2 linked regions of the Mus musculus genome follow. The protein of the gene in region 1 interacts with the protein of each later gene in a pairwise test. Links are inferred from orthologs where the notes say so. Each region holds a gene or a part of one and is shown in the gene's direction. Other genes may lie near its edges.

The links.
Region 2: the proteins of Bysl (region 1) and Stx11 interact in binary tests that used the Homo sapiens proteins (3 or more experiments, as listed by UniProt). The two-hybrid records come from large-scale screens. The link is inferred for Mus musculus from reciprocal best matches to the Homo sapiens genes BYSL and STX11.

Annotation. Positions count from the first base shown.
Region 1 is NC_000083.6:47,604,289-47,609,188, reverse strand, and holds part of Bysl (bystin), read left to right. Parts: intron 1-2,187; coding exon 2,188-2,350; intron 2,351-4,795; coding exon 4,796-4,900. UniProt on the Homo sapiens protein: Required for processing of 20S pre-rRNA precursor and biogenesis of 40S ribosomal subunits. May be required for trophinin-dependent regulation of cell adhesion during implantation of human embryos.
Region 2 is NC_000076.6:12,939,469-12,944,368, reverse strand, and holds the end of Stx11 (syntaxin-11), read left to right. Parts: intron 1-82; 5' UTR 83-217; intron 218-642; exon of another isoform or gene 643-861; intron 862-2,385; 5' UTR 2,386-2,390; coding exon 2,391-3,254; 3' UTR 3,255-4,386; downstream 4,387-4,900. UniProt on the Homo sapiens protein: SNARE that acts to regulate protein transport between late endosomes and the trans-Golgi network.

The DNA of each region.
Region 1 (4,900 bases):
ATCGTGCTTTGAATTCTGTGACCTCTGTGGTCCATTCAGCAGCTAGAGATTGATGGCGTCCTGTCTGGTCTGTCTCTGTTTCAGGTCTGACCACAAGCTAGGGACAGGATAAGATAATGCTCACAGCTGGTGAGGTCCATGCTTTGAGAGAGCATGAGCCCTGACTTCCACTCACAGCAGCTTGTAGTTTCTGAGCTACAGTGTAGAAGACAGATCTCTTGGGCCTACTGGGCAACCAGTCTAGCCTAATCAGCTATCCCCAGGTCCCAGTCAAATCCTGTTTCAAAAACAAGGTCATCAGCTCCCAAGAGTCACTTCCATGATGCAGGGTTCACTCATATACAAAAAGCAAATGATCACAACAACAAAACACCACACAAATGTCAGTGACTGTCTCCTGATTTTCTCTCTTTTCCCTACGTCGTATTTCATAGCTCTTGTCTTCCTTTGTTTAACATGTATTTTGTGTGCATGTGCGTGGCATGATGTGTGTAGAGAACAGAGGAAAACTCTCAAGAGTTGGTCCTCAGCTCTTCAGAACACTTGTTCTTGCAGAAAACCCAAGTTTGGTTTCTGGCATTCATATGGCAGGCTATAGCTGTCTGTAACTCCATTTGCAAGGGATCAAATGCCATCTTCTGATGTCATTAGACACCAGGCACACTTGTGCACAGACATACGTGCAGTCAGCACTCAAACATTAAAAGTAAAATAAACCTAAAACAAACAACCTTGGCTCTCACTGGGTATGCTCTGTGTACTCTCTGGAGCTCTATATAATATACCCTTAGTCCACTTCCATAGCAACTGATCTGTTGCTATGGTAATAATTCAACTACTTTGGTTTATTAGACTCTTTCCCAACTGCCTTGCCAGCTATGTGCGGTATTTCAAAAGTCAGCCCGGTGTATTGGCACATGACTTTAATCCCAGCACTCAGGAAGTACCCAGCCAAGACTCCATGGTCAGGACCTCAGGATGTGGCAGGAATGGCTCAACCCACCTATCACCCAAGTGAGGACACAGAGACCTCTTATTAGTTATGAAAGCTTGGCCTTAGCTGCCTTGTTCCGAACTCGCTGATACAACATAATTGCTTTATACTAGTCTACATTCAACCACGGGGCTCGTTACTGCTCTTCAGTAACAGCACGTGTTTCTTCCTCTGTGTCTGGCTGTTGAGTCCCCTCACATCTGATTTCTTTCCCAGAGTTCCTATCTCTGCCCAGAAGTCCCGCCTATCCTTTCCAGCCCTGCTATGGGCCACTCAGCTTTTGATTAAACCAATCAGAAGGTGATGGAGAAGAAGTTTCCACAACACTGAGACAGGTGATGCTTCATTAAAAAAAAAAACCAATGCCGACTGTACTCAGCTCTCTGCTGGAACAAAGATTAACATGTGAATAGTACACAGGCAGCCTTTACATGGAACACACGGGATTAACCCAACATCAGAAGCTCAGCCTTCAGCACTGTGGTGCGTGTTTGGAAAGTGGAGGCGCGAGAACAAGGAACTCCCAAGTCATCCTCGACTACCTAAGCCAGTAACTTAAATGTGTTGGTTGATCAGAGTCCGAATGCCACTGCCCAGCCTTAGAGCCTTCCAGGTTGGCTTTCCGTTTCCTTTCTGGCTCCTTAGTGCCCAACACTCTAACAGCATTACTTTCCAGGACGTGGAGCATGCTCTTGCTCCCAGACTGCCCATCCAGAGCCTCCTCAGCCTCTGTACTCATCCAAGTGCCTGAGGTGCACACTGCCTCCACCATGGTTTTAGTTTCAGCACATGATGCAGTTCCACTGTGCAAGCAACATAGTGGGAAGTCAGGACCCACAGTGCCTACCTACTGTGGGCACATCAACTCTTCTGCCCCGGTTTGAACTGGGTATAGCAACAGTACCTATTCCTTGAGGTCATCTGGACAGACCAGGTTACATGTGTGTAGTATAGAATGGATCCTTCTTGGTCATTGAGGGGGGACATGTCATCCATTCACTGAGGGGACATGTCATCCAGTCTTTACTGGCCTTATCATCTCTCGCTTCGTGTGCTGTATTTTCTATCAAGATTCCAAGTCTCTGGGGACAAAAGGATAGTCCCTCTGCAGGTGTCCCTCCTGCTCCCTGGGTGTGCTGTACGTGGAATGGGGAACTGACTCACAAGCCCCTGCGGCTGGGATTATCTTGTAGGGCCGGGATTGCCACAGGATGGATCAGATGAGGAGGATGAGGAGTGGCCTACCCTGGAGAAGGCAGCCAAAATGGCCGGGGTGGACCACCAGGCAGAGGTGATCGTGGACCCTGAAGATGAGCGTGCCATTGAAATGTTCATGAACAAGAATCCTCCCGTGAGGTAAGGCTTAAAGGTTGGACCAGTGGGTCCTGGTAGAAAGTTCATCCAGACCACAGCTGTTGGTCTGACCATTGCCAAGAGTGGCCCCTGAACGGGAGTGACCCGGATTCCCCTTTGCCCATCTGATCTGGAACCTCTGGATTACCGGTTCCTTGTGATAGCTGGGGATCCGTTTAGTAGTGTTTATTCTTGGTACGTTACTCTCATAGCTTAGTCTTATTTTTTTTTAAGATTAATTTATTTATGTATGTGAGTACACTGTAGCTGTACAAATGGTTATGAGCCATCATATGGTTGTTGGGAATTGAATTTTAGGACTTCTACTCATTCTGGCCAACCCCACTCGCTCTGGCCCAAAGATTTATTTACTATACATAAGTACACTGTAGCTGGCTTCAGACGCACCAGAAGAGGGCACCAAATCTCATTACGGGTGGGTGTGAGCCACCATGTGGCTGCTGGGATTTGAACCCAGCATCTTCGGAAGAGCAGTCAGTGCTCTTACCTGCTGAGCCATCTCGCCAGCCCATAGCTTAGTCTTTAACTCAGGGTTTTCCATCTCAGTTACAGTGTTGGGGCCAATAGCAGCTATCTCTGACAAAATGTTCCCAGAGGGGTTAAAACTACCTCTGGGTAGAACCACAAACGTACCCCCATGTGTTATAAATGCTACTTCTAAACATGCAGTTATTTAGGCTGCCTGTGGTCAGATTCTTGGTTCCATTCAGATGGATCTGGCCTCATTGAGAGGACTGGGCTTAGGGCAAAGGGGCTCAACCAGTTTATTCTTCAGAGTGGGGTGTAGTACACCACTATCATTAATAGTACGGTGATGAGCAGCTTGGGTTCAGAGAACACAGGAGAACCCTGTCCCCTGAAGGTGTCTGACAGCTCTGAGAATGGTCATGGGGTGTGATGTGCCCCCCAAAGGCTCTCGGGCAGCACCTCATACCCAGTGGCTCTTGATCTGACAAACTTAGCAGAATGTTTTCTGCAGTTGCTATACGGAAGTGACAACATGGTGGAAAGGGGGACCGTGGGCACTCTTGAGCAGTGGCTGCTGGCATCTTCAGAAACCAGGCTAAGGGTCTTTGGGAACACAGCAATCAGGCCTTGTCACTTAAGGCACATTGAAGACGCTGCGAAGCACCCAAACTAGAAGTCGAAAGACTAAAATTTACCCTTTCCCTGAGAAAGTCTTAGGGCTTAGGAGAGTTGTTGGTTGGCCCTGAGTCTCGATTCCCCGGCCTGGGCAGTGCGGGGGAATAAAAGCACCTGCCACCAGTGTCATGCAGACCACAGGACACAAGTCTGGAAAGTGTCAGATTCAGTGCTGCTCGGCACAGAAAAAGACTGCAGAGAAACTTTTTCCCCTTGTGCTGGAAGCCAGAACCCAGGTCTCATCCTTGCTAGGCAAGTGCTGGGTGAGTAGGATAGGCTGGCCTTGAACTCACAAAACTCTGCCTGCCGCTGCCTTCTGAGCGCTGGGATGAAAGGTGTGCACCAGCGCTGCCTGGCACAGAGCTCCACTCTGCACTCAGAAGTTGCTCCCCGTTGTGTGAGCAGTGGGAGGTGAGCTTGAAGTAAACAGCCCTCAGGACCTGCTGGCTCTGGCTGAGAGTCGGGCCTGCTGCAGTCTTAGATTTTACCCTTCAGCTGACTGTCCAGGGGGGTCCTTTTACTTCCCCAGTTTACAGATGAGGAAACTGAGGCTTAGAGGAGTCAAGTGACGGGCCCAGGATCATACAAGGACCAGAAGAGCCGGAGCTGACTTCAGGGCCTAAGGGCCTAACGTCCCCACCACTCTGGCTCTGCGTCAGATGCAGAGACATCCAGGGCCCGTGCTCTGCAGCACTTTGAGGCGGCTAAATGGACATAGAGGGGAACTGAGGCTGTGCATCCCAGCGGGATCGAGATTTGTCAGCGTCCAGGGGAATTATACATTGCTCGCTTCCAGCTTCCCGTACACTAAAATTAGAACAGTGACAGGGACGTGGCCCCCATGCAAGGAGGACATGCAAGTTTGTGAAGCATTCTTGTTTTGTTTGGGGATGTTTTGTGACTTTCTTTTTCCCCTCTGAGACGGGGCTTGCTGTCTGGCCTAGATCTCCCTATGAAGACCATGCTGACCTTTCAACTCACAAAGATCTGCCTGCCTCCCAAGTGTTGGGATTAAAGGCTTACACCACCACTACTGCCTTTCTTTTTTAATAAACAGAGCCAGGCATACCATTAATCCCAGCACAAAGGAGGCAGAAACAAGTGGATCTCTGAGTCTGAGGTCAGCCTTGTCTACAGAGCCAGTTCTAAGACAGGCAAAGCTAGACATAAAACCCCTGTGTCAAATAACAACAACAAAGATAAAAAACAGGTTGAGGGGACGTTACAGTTTCATGGAAAGTGACCCCAATTCTTTCCACCTCTCTTTTTCCCGTGTCTCCATAGGCGCACCCTGGCTGATATCATCATGGAGAAGTTGACGGAGAAGCAGACAGAGGTGGAGACTGTCATGTCAGAGGTATCGGGCTTCCCTATGCCTCAGCTGGATCC
Region 2 (4,900 bases), on another chromosome or scaffold:
GGTCTTTACTGATGGAGGAGGACCTATGGTGTCAGGGTGTTAGATCCCAGAAACAAATGACTCCTTAAATGTTTTCTGGTAGCTCCTCCTAGGTGCTTTGGACGCTGCTTTGCTCTTCGCGCGGAGAATGAGGTGTCTTCACACACAGCTCCTTTACAGCTCTGGGGAAGCAGTAGAGAGCGTAGAACCGGTCTACAGGCAGAGTCCTAGAAGCCTGGTACGTCAATCCTTTCCATTTGCCAATTACCTTCCAATCAAAGTGCTTTGCAAGGCTTTGAGCAAGATGCAAGGAAAACATCTACCTTTCATTCTTGCTGTGTTCATCAAAATGCATCCATTTCATTAATCTGGGAGAACAGAATCCACTGAACACTAACTTAAGCAGATGAAGGTGGCAGCCACCCAAGTGTACTTCCTTGGCAAACAGAATGTCATCCTCGTAGTCATACATAGATGATAACATTAATTACAAAATCTGTACAGATCTCACAGAATTATGGAAACACATAGCAAAAGCAAGTATTAGCAACGGTTGCCTGTTATCCAATAACTCTAGGAAAATCGTTATTCAACATTTTGATGCATCTTGCTCACATCTGATTCAGACAATCATGTGGGGCTGCTGCAATTCTTTCTCTGTAGCTCTCTTTCCTACCTGAGAGAGCATGCGGGATCTTCATGTCATTAGATGGCCTTCTAGACGCTGTGACCGTTGTAGCTTTTTGTGCATTGACGTCATTCCTGGATCTCTGCCGATGTACTAGAACTCCCAGGGTCCAGCTGCTCATCCTGCCTCAGCGTCCCCAGCAGCTCAAACCACAGCTACGCACCTTTGCAACGGACTTCAGTGTCCAAGTTTTGGTTTGTAACACCGTACTACAGTTGCCTTTATTTTGTTGTTATTTTGCTTCAAAGCATTTGTTCGTGTGCCTGTGTGTTCCTGTGCCTGTGTGCCTGTGTGGGAGTATATGAGTATATATGAGTATATGTATATGTATGTGTATGTGTATGTGTATGTGTATGTGTATGTGTATGTGTATGTGTATGTGTATATGTATATGTATACACACACACACACACACACACATATATATATATGAGTGTATACATGTCTTCCTCAGTCACTCTCCACCTTTTTTTTTTTTTTTTTGAGACAGAGTCTATTGCTGAAGCTAGAGCTCCCTGGTTTTGTGAGACTGGCTGACCTCCTGTCTGTGTAACCCCAGGGCTGGGATCACCCGTGTACCCTGCCACATCTGGCTTATAATAACAGGTGCTTAGGGATCAGGGTTCTGCGAGCCATCTCCTCAGCAGCCTTACAGCATTTGCTTTATTCCTTTGTTCGTTTATTTGCTTATTTACTTTGACACAGCATCCCTGGCTAGTATGGAACTTACTATGTAAACCAGGCTTGCCTCAAGTTTACAAAAATCTGCCAGTCTTTGCCTTTGGACCAAAGGCACATACCACCATGCTCAGCTCTTGATAAAGGGGTTTTTCCTTTCATCTTTTGTTAGTTTCGTGTGTGTGTGTGTGTGTGTGTGTGTGTGTGTGTGTGTGTGTCTGTCTGTCTGTCTGTCTGTCTGTCTGTCTGTCTGTCTTTGGGTATGTGCACGTGAGTGCAGGTGACCATGATGCCCAGAAGAAGGTATTGGATCACCTGGAGTCACAGGCAGTTGTGAGTGCTCGCTGAAGCTAACACTCCCTGATTTGGTTAGACTGGCTGGTTAGTGCGGCACACATGAGTGCTCAGAACTAAACAGATCCTCAGCAAGAGCAGAACCTCATCTTAAGTGCCCTAGCCCTAGCCCCAGGCCTGTAAGAACTCATTGTGTAGACCAGGCTAGCCTCCAACTTACTGATAGCCACCTGCCTGTGCCTCTGTAGTACTGAGATTAAAGGTTTGGCCACCACATAGGCTAAAAGTTGTACTAAGTACAAGAGAATATATTTACTAGTGACAATTGGCCACAAAATACAGAGCATTTAATGTCTTTTTCAAAGTCTTGTAAGCTGCCTTTATTGAAAAGTTTACAAACCTTTTTGAGTTTTTTTCCTTGTGTCTGTGTGCCTAATTTCATGGTGGAGAAACAAAAAGCAAACAAAAGAAATTGTTTCCCAAAGCAATCTAAAAGTTTAAATTGCTGATTGAATTGGGGGTGCCCGTGATATTGAACTGCAGACGTGTAGAGGCTGTGAAACATAACTAAGGGTCTGAGTCACGGTATTTCTTTACTTCTAAATAAAATGTCACAGGGCATTTTGCCGCTTTAATGCCCACACGGAAAAGGAATTAAGAGCAAGCTCCTTACATTGAGCTTCAACCCCTCTGAATGCACAGATCTGACCATCATTAAAGGATCCTAACTGCTGTTTCTTTTGTAGGCAAAATGAAGGATCGGCTTGCAGAGCTTCAAGAATTGTCCAGGAGCTATGACCAGCAATTCCCAGATGGGGACAATGACTTTGACGCTCCTCGGGAGGACATAGTGTTCGAGACCGACCACATCCTGGAGTCCTTGTACAGGGTCATCCAGGACATCCAGGATGAAAACCAGCTGCTTCTGATAGACGTGAGGCGCCTGGGGAGGCAGAACGTCCGCTTCCTCACGTCCATGCGGCGCCTCAGCAGCATTAAGCGCGACACCAACTCCATCGCCAAGGCCATCAAGACCCGAGGCGAAGGCATCCACCAGAAGCTGCGCTCCATGAAGGAGCTGAGCGAGCAGGCCGAGGCCCGGCACGGCGCGCACTCGGCGGTGGCTCGCATCTCACACGCGCAGTACAGCGCGCTGGCCCGCGCTTTCCAGCAAGCCATGTACGAGTACAACCAGGCCGAGATGAAACAGCGCGACAACTGCAAGATCCGCATCCAGCGGCAGCTGGAGATCATGGGCAAGGACATGTCGGGCGAGCAGATTGAGGACATGTTCGAGCAGGGCAAGTGGGATGTATTCTCCGAGAACCTGCTGGCCGACTTGAAGGGCGCGCGGGCTGCGCTCAACGAGATCGAGAGCCGCCACCGCGAGCTCCTGCGCCTGGAGGGTCGCATTCGCGATGTGCACGAGCTCTTCCTACAGATGGCCGTGCTAGTGGAGAAGCAGGAGGACACGCTGAACGTCATCGAGCTTAACGTGCAGAAGACCCTCGATTACACGGGCGAGGCCAAGGCGCAGGTGCGCAAGGCGGTGCAGTACAAGAAGAAGAACCCCTGCAGGACCATCTGCTGCTTCTGTTGTCCCTGTGTCAACTAGCCGCTGGCTTGAGTCTCCACTGCACGTGCCATGTGGGAAACATGTCCAGGATGCCCAGCCAAAGGCATCTTGCACTGGGCCGAGGGAGAGGGTCCCAATACCTTGCAGAATTCAGAGCATAGAGAAAGTGGGGGTTGGGATGCAAGATTTGGAGTCCGGCACCTGCTGCCTTCAAGGAATAGTTGTTAATATCCAATGGCTACTTAATGTAGACAGATTTCCACTGGCGTTGTGTGATGTCATTATAAAATACATAGCACTCAGCATCACGGGGAGGAACTAAGGTCATTTGCTAAGATGTGTGTCTTGAAAGGAGGAAGCCAAGAGAACAGGATGCTAATAGTATGAGTACATTATCAAAAGTTGCCTTTGTTTATCCTCTCTGGAAAGTTCCTTGGTGCTATATGGTTTTGAATGACATTCACTTCAGTATTCATTACGTCTGTTCATTTTCGTGGAACTTTGACCTTGGGTAAATTGGCTGCCATTCACTTCTGATTATTTATGTTGTGTGAGCCCTGCGTGAACTCCTTCCCTTGGCTCGCTCCCACTACACAGTAACCCTCACTGGACACTGGCTCCTTACCTCTCTCACCTTTTATATCGTCCACCAGCTTATATATGAATATTTTTAAAGCACCAAATATTGAACAAGCACTCAAGTTGAGCTTTATATTGGTCACATTTTATGGATTTTTCACAGATAACATTTATTTAAAATTTATCTTTGTACTTCATTTCATATGAATATGGGTGTAATTGTAAACTAATCTCCATTCCTATGTGTACATTAATGGCCAATTAGATTGACTTTGCTTTTGGAAATTCTGTATATAAACAACAAGAGCAGTTTTTGCTGTGTGCCATTGTTTGATGATCCTGAGTGTATTTCATGCCTGTCTGCACAGTCCAGTTTGGGTCTAACTTTATTTTGAACAACTGTGTGCTGTCATTAATAAAGAGAAGCGAGGAAGATTGGAAACTTGTGAAGCAGCTAGAGATGCTAAAGTGAGGTTCTTGGGGATAGTAATCTACCTTACTCCGAGCCATTCCTTTCTCCATTAAAGCAGAGAGACTTCAAGTAAAATCTTGTTTTTCAAATAAGTTTAATAAATATGAAGTTATAACTGTCTCTCTTTTTATATTTCTCTCTTGACCCACTGAACCTAAATTGATTGTCTTTTCCGATTATTGTTAAACTATCTCCCACCTAACTATAATGTCTGCATGGAACTCTAAACAAAGTTTTTACAGTCATTTAGAAATTGCTGAGGTTTTAAAGATTTGCTTTCACTTGAAGATGTTGGAAACCATGTTCCAGACTGTAGTTACCACGCCTGTGTGTGCCTTCTGAATCCACTCTCAGCTGCTGGTTTTTAACACGCCAGTGATTTCAGTGGAAAGTCCTATAGCCTGAGTTTATAAGAAGACAAAAGAAGAGCAGGAACTCTCTGGGGCCCGTTGATCTGCTTATGAGAGAGAAGACCCAGCCTTCGCAGTTTTTCTTTGTGCAGTCCGATATGAACTGTACATGTGGAGCCCTGCCAGGCTCTCCTTACACTTTGCCCAGCTCCTTTATTACCGAACTACTGGGATGTTCCCCTCTCTCTAAGGGAGAGGTTCCCACACGGCCCCAGTGACCTAAT